Oryctolagus cuniculus: one gene and its partners. The protein of the gene in region 2 binds, or shares a complex with, the protein of the main gene of each other region. Links are inferred from orthologs where the notes say so. Each region holds a gene or a part of one and is shown on either strand. Other genes may lie near its edges.

Region 1 (4,225 bases), on a different chromosome or scaffold from region 2:
CGCCTAGCGGCGCCGGCACACCGGGTTCTAGTCCCGGTCGGGGCGCTGGATTCTTTCCGGGTTGCCCCTCTTCCAGGCCAGCTCTCTGCTGTGGCCAGGGAGTGCAGTGGAGGATGGCCCAAGTGCTTGGGCCCTGCACCCCGTGGGAGACCAGGAGAAGCACCTGGCTCCTGCCTTCGGATCAGCGCGGTGCGCCGGCCGCAGCGCGCCAGCCGTGGCGGCCATTGGAGGGTGAACCAACGGCAAAGGAAGACCTTTCTCTCTGTCTCTCTCTCTCACTGTCCACTCTGCCTATCAAAAAAAAAAAAAAAAAAAAAAAAAAAGAGTCAAGCTGGACTCCATCCGGTTCCAGCAGGAGGGTCAGGGCCCCCACATAGCAGAGAAGGGGCGGAGTGAGCTCCCTGCCCCACCATGCAAGCATCCTGGGGCCCCAGCTTTGCCAGGTCAGCCTTTATTGGGTGGGGTCCTGCTTCCACTCTCCAAGCTGGGTGCTAATGGGCAGGAGGCCTCTGCAGAGAACTCTGGCTCTTGGGTTTTTCTTTATCTGACCCAGGGAAGAGCTGCTCACCGTGGCTCTGTGATTATGAGCAAAGTAGCCCCCTGAAAGGCCAGGGCGGTAGCCCATGAAGCTATCCTGGCCAGGGAGCACCTGGACGCCTCACATTTGGGGATCGTGCTGGGTCAATCCGGAAGTGTGTCTCTGTCCTGCAGAAGGGAATGGTGGCAGCTGGCGCAGCACCATCTGGGGGTGGCCTCCAACTCCCCACACCTGGGCCAGTCACAGCGTCTCACCAGGTGCCCCACTGGGGCGGGGTGGTCTTTGCACCCAGTGTGGAAAATGAGGACCACTCAGCAGAGGGTTGCTATGAGAGGGCATCAAGCCAGGCCAGGATGGGGTGGGGAGTGCCTGCCCACGGCACACCGAGAGACCAGGACAGCCTGGCCCAGGATACTCTCGCCCAAAGTTGGGAGCTGCTGGATCTTCACACACAGCAGGTGCAGACCCTGGACCCAGAGTCGGCCCCACCGGCTAGGGATGCGGGAACCCCAGTAGATTTAGGGGACCTTGGAAAGAGCATGGTCAGTCCAGGCTCTCAGAGTGGGCAGACTGGTCCATTAGGAGGTGGTCAGAAGTCAGGCTTCCAGTCCTGGGAACCAGGGCGAGGCAAGGGGGCAACCTCTGGGCCTTGTCCAGGAGCCCGGGGGTGGGGGTTAGGAGAGGGAGGTAAGAAAGGAGGAGGGAGGAAGGGGGCGAAGGCCGAGGAGCCAGAAGAGGCGCGCTGGGGAGGTAAAGAGAGGGGAGAACCTTAGACCAAGGGAGAGAGGAGGGAGGAAGAAGAAAGGGGAGGGCCGAGGGGAGGGAAGAGGCGCGGGGGAGGGGAGCGGAGGAGGAGGCGGGAAGGGAGGGAGCGGGGGAGGGGCCTCCGCGCCGCTCCGCGCCCTCGTCCCCGCGCCGGCCTCCGCGTCCTCGCGCTCCGCAGCATCCCCGCGCTCTCGTCCCCGAGCCCCGCGCCCGCCGCCGCCGCCGCCACCACCGCCGCCGCCGCCGCTGCCGCCGCCGCCATCGCCATTCCTGGCGCCCCGCTCGCCGGGCCGCCGGGGCAGGGCGCGCGCTCAGGTAAAGTGCCGGGTCGCGTGGAAGGGAGCGCGCGGCGCGGGCAGGTGCCGGGGGACGGCCACCCCGCTCCGTGGAGCCCCCTCGCCGCACCCCAGGGCCCTCCCCGGACCCCTGCAGCTACCCCCCACCCGGGACCCCACCCGGGACCCCTCCCGGGACGCCACCTGGAGCTTCCTGGCCAGTCCCTTCCCTGGACGCCTCCCTCGACCCCCTCCTGCTCGGCCCCTCCCCTGCCTGGTTCCGGCCCGACCGCGGGGCGCAGGTGGCTCGCGGGGGCGCTGGGCTTACGGCAGACCCGGACCGGGGAGGGGGCGGCGCGCTCGCCCAAGCCCCGCCGCGCCCCGGCCCGCCCGGTCAGGCCCGCTCCGGCCGGTCCGGGCCCAGCCTCCCTGCGGGCTTCTGTTTTCCATTTTGGTCTCGAGGCCGAGGCCTCTGGGAGTGGACCCGGCGCGGCGCACTCAGACAGGTGGGGCAGGTCGCCCCCGCCTGGTGGTGGGTGCCGCAGGCCTCGGCTTCCTTCGGGGGTTTTGGCCGCGTTATTGTAGAACCGCTCGGGAGAGCCAGAATCCTTAGCTCCGTGGGGCTGCACCTGTTGCAGGCGCCTGGCGAGTGCAAGGGGCTGAGTCGCTGGGGGTTTGCCAGTGAAAACCTGGAAATGAGAGTTGAGGCCGCGGCCATCGTCTGGCTCGATTTGGTTTAGGATTCTGGGGGGTGGGTGGGGGGAACATTTGGGAGCCTGGAGGTGGGCAGTTCCAGGAGGCCTGTGGTGGGGGCTGCTGTCTGTGATTGGCGCAAGAAGTTGCTCAGCTTTTGTCTTGCAAACCTCCCTCTGCTCTGCACATCCCAGGCCCCAGGGTGGCCGCCGCTCCAGGGGCCTGTGGCCAGCTTTCTTCTCCTGCCGTTCTAAGCCTTTTCAACTCCATTGGGCGCCACTGAATGGAAGTTTCCTTTCTGGGGAGTGCAGTGACACCAGCAGCCTGTCACCTCCTGTGCCCCCCCCCACAGCCCCCTCCTGGGGCCTGCCCTCTGGCTGGCTACCCAGAAGGTTATTTGGGAATGTTTACTGTGCCCCAGAAACAAGCAACGCCGGCCAGGCAGGGCCGGAGCAGGTTGTGCTGGGGATGCTGTTACTCCGATTGTCACTTGCACGTTTGGTGTCTGTGCACGCCATGTGTCGGTGATCGCCCACCAGGAGAAGAAAGCAGGCCTCCTCCCTCCCCCTGGGGGAAGGGCTGGGCTAGGGACATGCTCACTGGGAGTGCCTGTCAAGAATGACACAAGTAAGCAAGACCACATGGCCACGTTGCCAGACCCAGTGCTGGCATGGGGGTCTGGGGCTGTCTCCCCTCGAGGTGCTCGTCTGTCTGTCTGCACTCTGAAACAGAGCCATTGAAGTCCTCCAGCTCTGGCTCCTGTGTGGCACCCAGGCTACCAGAGACCCCTCCCAGAGTGGCCCGCCCTTGGCTAAGGTTTGGGTGCAAAGCCCAGCGGCCGTGTTGCACTAGAAGCTGTCCTGTAGGGTGTCCTTGATGACACCATCCACTTGTGGACCGTCTCTTGCAGGTAGATTGTCGGCGGCAGATGCTAAATGGTGCTGTCTTCCCTGCACTGGGCCTGGGGGGTGTGGGCCGGTCCTGGGGAATGCGCTAATGACTGGCTTGGAAGGAGCTGCGAGGGGGCGCCTGCTGGGGCCAGCGCGATCAATAATGCATTGCAGAAATCAATGGTCTTCGTCATCCGATGTGCTTCTTGAGGGCGCCTGCTCAGGGGGGATGGGTGGGGCCCAGAGGGAGAGTGGTTGCTGGGGGTCTCTTCCTGTTGGGTGTGGCTGGGACCTCTTGTGGGGGAGGGGCATATATCTCCACTGTCCCCAGACCAGGCCGTGGGTCTGCTGCGCCCAAGCAGGCCTGGGGAGAGGATCTGCTTCCTGGTTGCTTTGTAATACACCTTCCCTTCGTGTAGGAATGTGCTTGGTTCAAAGGACTCTGGAGCTGGAGGAGGTGGCATGGGCTCCCTGTACTCCTGCCCCCCCCCCCCACCCCGCTCCTAGGCTCTTCTGGAAGTGACAGTCGTGATCTGTGACCCCACCCAGGTGGGGGGGTGGGAGACCATGTGAGGATTAAACCCGAGCGTGCACTCTGCTGAGTTTGGGTGCAGCCCCTGGGAGGAGGGTGCTGGCTGCAGCCCCAGCTGGGGGCCGTCACTTCTCGTGGAATTGGATGATCCCAGCAAGAGGAGGAGGAGGCCAGAGGCTGGACAGCGGTGCTGGGGGAGATCTCGTCCTCGGTCCCCATGGCCTTGTCTACTGGGCTGAGCAAGTGTAGTTCCGGCAGCGCCACCTGTGTCCCGGGATCCCCAGGGCGTCGCCCCGGAGCGTGGCTGGTCCGGCAGCTCCCGTGCACCTGCAGGGAGAGGTTTGCTGGGGCCTCTGTGCAATTCTGTCATGGAGAGGTGGCATGGGTGAGCAGAGATGCGTTGGGAAGGTAGCACCCGTGAGCCCTGGGCCTGGGCTGGAGCTGGGTGGGGTTTGTCAGGTAATCTTTGGGATGAGCAGGTTGCCCGTGACCTGGGCACTCCCTGCTGCCTGCGCCCCTGCTTCCACTCCTG
Region 2 (4,390 bases):
CTCTAGCCCCCCGCCCCCCACATGCTCTTCGTTCCTGATGCCTGAACGACAGACAGCGGTTCGCTCCTCTGCTGTCAAGTCACGCGGCTGTCCTGCTGCCTGGAATGCCCACTCCCTCTCTAGCCCATTAACTCCCACACCCAGCCATCCTGCCAGGGTGCTGAGGAGGTCACTCCGGGCAGCAGGGGATGGAAGAGCTGAGGCTGATGTGCCCCCCTCCCCCAGCTCTGGACTTGAAGCTCCTCAAAGGCAGGGAGTGTGGCTCCAGCTCACAGACGGCAAAAGAGCAGGTGCTCTCTGTGTGGTGGTAAAGGGAACCCCGCTGCTAGGGGAGACCATGCCCCCTGCCCACTCTCCAAGCCACTTGGTATCTCCTCGGGCAAGGCAGCAGGCCCCCCTCTTATTAATGGCTGACCCCAGCAGACTGGAAAGGCCGATATGCTGATTTGGAGCCAGCCTCCTGTCCCCGACTTGCACCGTCAGATCTCCTCCCACTCCCCACCTCTGGGGCTCTGTCCAGGCTCACCGCCAAGGCCTCACTGCCCATGCCCAAGCGTGCCTGGTGGGCCTCTTCTGGGCCCACCTCTCTCTGCACCTCCTCAGCAGGGCCCATGGCCGCCTGTAGAAAGCAAGCACTTCCTGAAACCTCGTGGAGCTGTCCTCACCTACCAACGAGGCTCACGGCCCAGCCGTTCCACACTCCACACCTGCACATTTACCTGGGGGTCCGTGGGAACAGGACTCCCTCTCCGCCCCCTGCTCCATTCATTGACGGTGCGGCCGTGCGCACTGCCCACCCTGTCCGCCGTGTGTTGCCGCGGGTGGGAGAGCCACCGCCGGCGGGATTCCAAGATGCCCCGCGGTGCTCACCATCACGCACCCGAAGTGTGGAGCGGGACGCGCCCTCAAGCCTGGAGGCTCGGGGTCCGCCTTTGTCAGTCCCGCGAGCGCACCTGCAAAGGCTGTTACTCTCAAGGGGGCGCCGCGGCCCTCCCCCCTCCCCGACCAGGTCGCGGGGCGAGGACCCCACCCGTGGCCCCGGGAGGGCGGGGAAGGGGCCGGTCGGTCCCCGGCGCGGCGGCGGCGACGAGGAGGGGGCGCGGAGGAGCAGCTCCACCTCCTCTGTCTCCCAATCGCGTTACAGGCGGCGCCGCCAGAGTTTCCCTCCGCGCGGAGAAGCGTGGTCCCAACTCTCGGCGCCGAAGCCGCCCACCACTCCCCAGGCCGCCCCTGCCCGGCCGGATCCCGGCCCCAGACCGCTCCGCCTCGGGGCGCGCGGCCTCGCCGGGGCCCCGCCGCCCCGGCCCCGCGCCCGGCACTCACCGCCCGGCCGGCCGCGCGGGATGTGCGCGCCGAGGGGGCGCCGGCCGCTCGGGACGCGGCTGTGTGCGCGGCGGCCTGCCCCGGAGGTGGGTCTGGCGGAGCCGCAGCTGTTACCCGGAGACCGAGGGGCGGAAAACTGCGCCCGCTGCCCGCCCCTCCCGCCGCAGCGCTGCCACCGCTGGGAACAAAGGAGACAAAGCCGCGTCGGCCGGGCCCGGCTCCGCTCCTTCCCCCCCCACCCCCACCCGCCGGGCCGCCCTCCCCCCGCCCGCCGCCGGGGCCAGGCCGGAAGCAGCCGGGAGAGCGGGGCGCACGGCCCCGGACTGCCCGGGACCCCGCATTCCGGCCGCGCGGCCTCCGCGCCCGCCAAGTGCGGGGGTGCACAGCCCCTCCCGCATAGGGAGGGGGCTCAGGGGCTGCCCGGCGGCGGTAGCCATGGCAACACTGCTCCGCCCCGCCCCCGCGGGGCCTCACCTGCGCGCTGCTTTGGAACTGGAACTGGGAGCCCTCCCGGGAGGGGAGCGGCCGGGCCTCTCTCGCCTCGCCGGAGTCGGGTCCCGCGCCTCACCTGGCCCGTCTGTTCGTTGGCCGCCTCCGCCACCATCCCGCCCGCTCTCCCTTCCAGGACGGGCTCCTGTGGACGTTCTCCCTCAACTTCCCTTACCTGAACTAAGGCGCCTCGTTTCTCCCCTGCGCACCTGGTCCTGCCCACCGCTCCTTCTCCCGGGACTCCCCACCAGCCAGCCCCTCCCTCCGCCCCCACCTTGCGCTGTTTGAGAGCAGAGCTCGGGCTTTGGACCTGGGTTTGCGCCATCGCTAAGCCCTGTAACCTGACACCCGCCCCCCCTCAACCTATTTGCTCACCAGCAAGTGGGGGTGAACCCCCCTCGCCCGGCCGCTGAAGCTGGCACACCGGGCCGAGGTGCACCAGCATGGGCGCCCCGCCCTCCTCTCCGTCCCAGGCCCCTACCTGGAACCACCCCAAGCTGAGAAGCCTTGGGCAAGTCTAGACTGCCTCACTGGCGGACTCCTGGGCCTTCGCAGGAGGAAACGCTGGGCAGGAGGGTTCTCTCCTGAGGCCTGTTTGTCCCTTCCCATCCACAGCAACGGGAGCCAGGACCTAGCCCATCCTGTTAGAACTTCTGGAGAGTTCTGGCTCGAGGCCATTGGCACAGCCTCCTGGGAAACAAAACTGTCTCTCACACACACGCACAGGCACACACATCACTTGGAAGCTTCAACCTGGAGGTGCAGGTCGTCCACCCCAGCTACTGCCCTGACAGCCAGGGTCACAGACACCCTCCTCCCACCCCCCACCTCCTCGAGGGCTTCCCCGCAGTCCCTCTCATCTACCAGGCTCTGTGCCTTCCGAATTCTCCCTCCCCAACTCTTCAGGTGAACCCTCTTCCTCCACTTGGATTCCAGCGCTTGAGTTCCAGACACGGAGCACTTGGTCTACAGCGGCGGCTTGGCACAGGTCTTTCACCTTGCTCTCTGACGGTGTGCTCCACAAGCCCCACCCCATCCGGAGCACCGCCTGTCAGGAGAATCCCTCCCTCAGCTGCCTACCTTGGCTTTCCTGCTTCTGCAGCTTGCGCTAGCCCCTTCCACGTGTCCAGGGGCCTTTCCTCCCCAAAGCTACTCACTCAAACATCTTTCAGGATCTGCCTCTTCCCAGAAGGGAACCTGGTTCTTGTGAACCCCACTGCTCCCCTCATCTGCTCACAGTCATGGCACCTCCTGCCGCACCAGGATCCCAGGTCATTCTGGATGGAGGGGCCAGAATGCGGCCATTTGGGCCACACTCACAGCCCAGGCTGAGCCAGGCTCCAGGAAGGTAGGAAGGGTGCCTCACAGGAGATACTCCTGGTTCTACTGGGCCTCTGCTCAGTCAGCTGTGCAGGCACCGATGAACAAACCGCTACCCACAGACCCTGCAAAGAGCTGGGTGTGTTCTACAGGGAGGGTGGGCTCTCCACTAGGCTCCATTGTGAGTACACAGCATCCCCCAAGCTCCCTGTTTACAGAAGGCCACCCACGGCCATTTAGCCCGGGAGGTCAAGGATCACAGAGATCAGGAGTTCTAAGGGCACTCTGCCTCCATGCCCCTATGGGGGGGCGGGGGCCCCTCCCCATCACTTCCTGTGCGTTCACACTGCTGGTGGCCTGAGCTCTGCCCACACCTGTCAAGGTCATCCCAAGCTCGGCATACCCAGCCCCAGCACAGCAGCACTGCCCGAAGCCCTCGCTGCACTGGGGACCCAGGTTGGCCACCATTCCTGTGACGACGTCCCCAAGCTTTCTTCCCACCTCTCCTCAGATCATTCTTCCAGCTCTACAGCCAAATTCTCCCCTGTGATCCGGAAGTGACGTAAGTGGGCTGACTCACAAGCAGGTAAGGTTGCACTGACCAGAGCCTCCAGGCCACCTGACATGGGCAGGTCAGGCAAGCAGAGGACAGGGCCAGGAAATCCAGAAAACCAGGCCTCAGGAGCAAGTGTGTCCAGGGCGGCCCTGACAGAGGACCACGGGGAGGCAGGAACGGAAGGGGCCCGACCCTCGAGTCCCGGATCTCAGCTCTCAATGCACGAAATTCAGTCTCTGTACATTTTTTTACATAAAACAAACTTGGAAGATATTTTAATTGGACATTAGCGCAGCGTTTTGATAATTCATGTAAAACACTGCCTACAACGCAAAGTGTGCCTGAAGGTGCAGCGGCTCAGGCCGAGGTCGTGTGCATCTCCGAAGGCTGACTTCGCTGCTGGGATTCACCGACTAAATCCTCACCCACATCGAGCGCTTGGGACTCGCTGGAGGGGGCTCTGGGCTAGCTGGCCTTGAACAGCATGTAGAGCACAGGCAGGGTGGCCACAAACGTCACACAGGTGACCAGCGTGCTGTAGACGGTGTTCCTGTTGGCTTGGGCCTCAAGCCTCTGTTCCATGTCCGACAGTGCCAAGATCACAGCCCCCTGCTCTAGCAAGGAGCTGGGCAGAGCCCTGTCTGCTGGCTCCTCCGGGCCTGGGTGTGCTGCTGTCTTTGCAAGCTGCACCACCCCAGCCAT
Region 3 (4,118 bases), on a different chromosome or scaffold from region 2:
ACTAAAAGCAGCAATCAGACATTTCTACCAATTTTCAAGTGCTCATTCTTAAATGCTGAAAACCACAGTCTCTTGGTCTCACAGAAGTTACAAAGAGACTGAAAGGTATTCATTTCATTAACTGCTTAGATTTTTCTAATACCTGTTCAAAGATATCATATAAAAACAATAGCTACCACGAACAGAGTCTGAGTTTTAAATTTTAAAAGAGTTTTAATTTTAAATCTTAGAAAGGCGGCGGGAGCTGGGGAATAGACGATAAAAACAAGAGAAGGGAACAAATTTATGTGCAAAATAATGACAGGATATAACAGAGTTCTGAGTATCTGAAGTAACCAATCAGAGCCTGAACATAGCTGAATTCCAACCCAGCCCCAGCACGTCCCTAACACAAGAATAAAACCCTTCTTATCTTGTTCAGCCATGTGTCGCCTGCCACAAACTGCAAAACAGAACAACGCCCAAAACCAGCCAGTCTGATTTCAACCGAGGACAGACAGACTCTGTAGCCAGAAGCTCCGCAGTGAAAGAACTCGAACTCCCACAGCTGGCGTGGTGGTTCTGCACACTCTACAAAACAAAGCCATACCACAGCCAGTACTCCAAACTTGAAAGGATCTCGAAAAAGCCACACTGGCACTCTTAATTGGCCAATAGTTCTAGAATCAGCAAAACAAACCCATCTAGTACCCTAGGGTTGGACAAGGGGGAAAAAAGGATGAGTAGGGAGGCTGACAGGAAGCTGGAAATTATTCTGTACTCATAACTTTGTTAAGGCACCCGGACAGATTTCACCCCAATATATATGCAAATCAGGAATAACTACTCCCTTAAAGGTAAATGGATGCTTTCTATTTATAAAATAAGACGTTGAAAAAAAACTAGTGGTCATCTAACAATTCACATTAAAAAATAAGACAACAGTCTCAGCAGTGTTTATTAAATTAGGCAAGACTGCACAGTTCTTTTTTTTTTTGCTTGTAAAGACCTATGTAAAATCAGGCAGCACCTGCACCAGGTCGAGAGTATGAACGCCGACACCAATATTCACACATTCATTCTGTCCACCTTTTGTGCCTAGCACAGTGCATGTCAAAGAACAGGCTTTCAATAACTGCAGGCTTCTTGAATGGCGATATGCCGTTTAAGTTATAAAAAGTATAAAAAGTACACAAATTCTAAGATTGTATTTCCAAGATAACTGAAAGAAAAATCCCTGAAAAGCAAAGCTGGGGCTTTTTAGTGATTTCTGTGGGGATGAGTTGGTGACCCCAAGTTCTGTTTCTGCAACAGCACCCAAGCATTACAAGGAAAACCAATACCACATTAGCGTCTAGTAAGACTTCTTGTCTATGTGCTCAACAAAAAGATAAGATTCGAATGAATCAGGGAAACAATTATCCACATGCTGGTGAAAAACAGTTTCTCAGGAGCAAGACTCCCAGAAAAGAAAAGGAATGGGGTTAACTAAAATAGCATCATCACTATTCATGTTAAGTATATTCTCAGAAAAATTAAACATTATCTCACTGAAAATGAAAACTCATTTAATAAAAAACACAAAGGATAAACATAAATAGCTTAATTATTTAATGGAATCTTTTAGGTGAACATTCATGTGACACTGGAAAGCATCAACAGGAAGAGGAAGTTCTGTTTCTGGAGTGGCTGTTATGGTATGATAATGGAATTTGGCTCTTTCAGAATCAACAAATGAGCTTTACAATTGGGTAAAACTCTCTTATTAGCAAATTAATCTACTTTCTGCAGAACCACTATTGTTGCACTTTTCAACAAAGAGCTCTGGACTGAAAATTGAGTATTTATTTTTTCAGATGTAGTAGTGTGAAGCTTGACTTAATAAACAGATTGAAATCTGAGACTATCAAACATACACAGCATTTTGCCATAATTAAAGTGAGAAATAAAATGGGGTTAAGAAATTCAATCATGTAACCTAGTCAAAAGAATAACGTTTGGGAATAAGGGAACTCTACTTCAACCACGTATAGTCCAGCTCAAATCGCCGCACTCCACGCAACAATTATAAATACTTGTAAAGGGTACACAGACGTCAACACATCCACCTGCCATGCTTGCACTATGCTTAGGGTTTACACCCCTTAACCAAGTGTTTCTGGAAGATGGAATATTAAAATACAATAACTGAAAGCAAGCCCTGGGAGTTTCCTCATTTCCTCCAGCTCCTGCATACTGCCTCGCGCGAGAGCCATGTCAACATTCTGGAAAATTATTAGATAATTAAACACTGGAGGGGTCAACACCTAAAAGAGACCAAGTCCACGAATCACCAGGCAGGAGGCTGAAGATTCAGTTCCCGGACAGAAATCGCTAAAATGTAAGGGGTTCCGAGAACTTGCACAGGGCAGGAGTCAAACTGACGATGCACCAACACCCAGCCGTCTTCTGGCGCTGACCTTCACCTAACGTGACCTTCCTCTGGTTCCAAAGATGAGAACAGACTCCAAACGCACACCCCAGCCAGAACCACAGACAAAAACCCCACGCTCGTGGTGGGGCGCACCCCTTCTCGCCAGAAAGACCGTGTTTCCAACCAACCGACCCCTCGGCAGCCACCCTCCGCTAACTGCCCGGCTCCCAAACAGCCCTCTCTCCTGTGCCTGTCAACTCCGCGGGCCAAAGGCGGCGTGCAGGACCGGCTGTCGCCGGGCCGGCCGGCCGGACGCGGGCGGGCTAGGGGAGGAGGGCTTCATACGAACCTGTCGGTGATAGTAGACTGTGTGCCACTCATTGGGGCCCTTGGCGAGAGGTCCTCCTTTCATCCAACTTGCATTTTACAGTAACACCTCCACCCCACCCCCAGTGCTCTGGGATCAGGCCCAACTCCGTCGGGGACACAAAAGTCCAACTCAACACTCCATGCAGTCATCTAGAACATCCGATTGGAAGGGGTCAAGCAAAGGGGATGCGGGCTGGAGCAAAGTTATCATCCAAAACAAAACCAACAAAGTCAGCCGGCAGGCGAGTCCCGGCGCCTGCGACAAATCCTGCAGGAGGCACAGCGAGAGAACTCCGTGGCCCAGGGAAGTCCGCGCGCCGTGGGAAGGGGACCCGGACTCCCGCCGGGGCCGCGGCCGGGGCCGGGGCGGGATCGGCTCCTCCTCCGGAGTCTCGGGGCCGTCAACTCCGTCCGCACCCGCACGGCCGAGCCCTCGCGTCCCCGCTCTCTAACTGGGGCTGCCGGTCGCGCGTGGCCGCAGCCTCGGCCGCGTCTCGGGCCGTCCCGCGCCGAGCTCGCGCGGCCCCATGTCCCCCGGCCCGGGGACCCCTCGCGTCTTCCTCGCCGCCCCCACCAGGCTCCGGGGCACCGGGACGAGCCGCGGGCGCCGGCGGAAAAGGAGTCCCGCGACCTGAAGTGACAGGGACCGGGGTCTCTCAGGGCCGCGGGCTGCTCCCCATCCCTTTGAGGCCCGGACTCTTCCGCAGTCAGCACGGGCGGCGGCGGCGGCTCCTCCCCGACGCTCCGGTAGGCGGCGGTTCCCGCGGGGGGGGCGGGAGGCTCCCGTCCGGCCCGGCCTGGTGGAAGCCTCGGCACGGGAGGCGACGGGCGGCGGCGGCGGCGGCGGCGGCGACTCCCCGCGCGGAACCGGCTCGCCGGGTGCTGGGGGCCCTCGCGGGAGCGCGCGCAGAAGGCGGAGGCGGCCGCCGGCGGTGGGGCGGAGGTGGGGGGAGCGACCGACGACCGCGGGCGCGCGCGCGGGTTCCGGTTCCGGTTCTGTCTTCCCGGTCGCGTCCAGCGCGAGCTCGTGCTTCCCCTCCCCCGCCGACTTTTTTGGCCTCCTCCCCTCTGACTTCGGGAAGCCGCCTCACCCGGGAATCCCTCCGCCGGGCCGCATCGCGCAGCGCCGGCCGCCCGCGCCCGCCCTTCGCTTGCGCCGCCCCCGCGCGGACGCCTCCGCCTCGGCCTCGCTTGGGGGGAGCAGAAAAGTAGTCCCGCGGGGGCAAAGGCGGCACCTCCAGGCTCGCCGCTGGCCCTGGAGCCGGAGAGTGTGGGAGAGGGTCGCTTAGGGGTGCTGCTCGCGCTGTCAGTGTTAGCCACAGGTGTCCAGAGAGCCCGCCCTGACCCCGCCAACTTC

The links.
Region 1: the proteins of PLXNB1 (region 2) and SEMA4D are in contact, whole or in part, in a crystal structure (PDB 3OL2), measured with the Homo sapiens proteins. The link is inferred for Oryctolagus cuniculus from reciprocal best matches to the Homo sapiens genes PLXNB1 and SEMA4D. Residues at the interface, in NP_001123554.1 of Homo sapiens: Leu80, Pro81, Pro82, Glu87, Arg136, Pro137, Gly138, Asp139, Thr140, Tyr142, Gly178, Glu202, Lys205, Ala207, Gly209, Arg210, Ser212, Glu213, Arg235, Arg242, Asp359, Val360, Asn361, Ser362, Leu367, Pro368, Thr371, Tyr375, Ser379, Asp380; in NP_001358123.1 of Homo sapiens: Glu99, Lys100, Gly101, Phe158, Tyr179, Phe181, Leu182, Gly183, Ser184, Arg198, Tyr201, Ile203, Glu208, Val240, Leu264, Arg265, Thr266, Leu267, Gln268, Lys270, Thr347, Gln350, Ser351, His352, Thr353, Asp388, Gln392, Lys395.
Region 3: the proteins of PLXNB1 (region 2) and ARHGEF12 are in contact, whole or in part, in an NMR structure (PDB 2OS6), measured with the Homo sapiens proteins. The link is inferred for Oryctolagus cuniculus from reciprocal best matches to the Homo sapiens genes PLXNB1 and ARHGEF12. Residues at the interface, in NP_001123554.1 of Homo sapiens: Glu2129, Lys2131, Val2132, Thr2133, Asp2134, Leu2135; in NP_056128.1 of Homo sapiens: Phe82, Gly83, Leu84, Thr85, Val86, Ser87, Gly88, Asp89, His127, Val131, Lys135.

The regions. Positions count from the first base shown.
Region 1 is NC_091432.1:138,253,041-138,257,265, reverse strand, and holds the start of SEMA4D (semaphorin-4D), read left to right. Parts: upstream 1-1,401; 5' UTR 1,402-1,618; intron 1,619-4,225. UniProt on the Homo sapiens protein: Cell surface receptor for PLXNB1 and PLXNB2 that plays an important role in cell-cell signaling. Regulates GABAergic synapse development. Promotes the development of inhibitory synapses in a PLXNB1-dependent manner.
Region 2 is NC_091441.1:100,625,812-100,630,201, reverse strand, and holds the start of PLXNB1 (plexin-B1), read right to left. Parts: upstream 2,828-4,390; 5' UTR 2,677-2,827; intron 2,503-2,676; exon of another isoform or gene 2,294-2,502; intron 2,263-2,293; exon of another isoform or gene 2,188-2,262; intron 2,087-2,187; exon of another isoform or gene 1,988-2,086; intron 1,936-1,987; exon of another isoform or gene 1,798-1,935; intron 1,502-1,797; exon of another isoform or gene 1,324-1,501; intron 1,208-1,323; exon of another isoform or gene 720-1,207; intron 620-719; exon of another isoform or gene 527-619; intron 1-526. Other genes in the region: CCDC51 (mitochondrial potassium channel), read right to left, coding at 4,154-4,390. UniProt on the Homo sapiens protein: Receptor for SEMA4D. Plays a role in GABAergic synapse development. Mediates SEMA4A- and SEMA4D-dependent inhibitory synapse development. Plays a role in RHOA activation and subsequent changes of the actin cytoskeleton.
Region 3 is NC_091432.1:112,821,291-112,825,408, reverse strand, and holds the start of ARHGEF12 (rho guanine nucleotide exchange factor 12), read right to left. Parts: upstream 2,868-4,118; 5' UTR 2,774-2,867; coding exon 2,742-2,773; intron 1-2,741. UniProt on the Homo sapiens protein: May play a role in the regulation of RhoA GTPase by guanine nucleotide-binding alpha-12 (GNA12) and alpha-13 (GNA13). Acts as guanine nucleotide exchange factor (GEF) for RhoA GTPase and may act as GTPase-activating protein (GAP) for GNA12 and GNA13.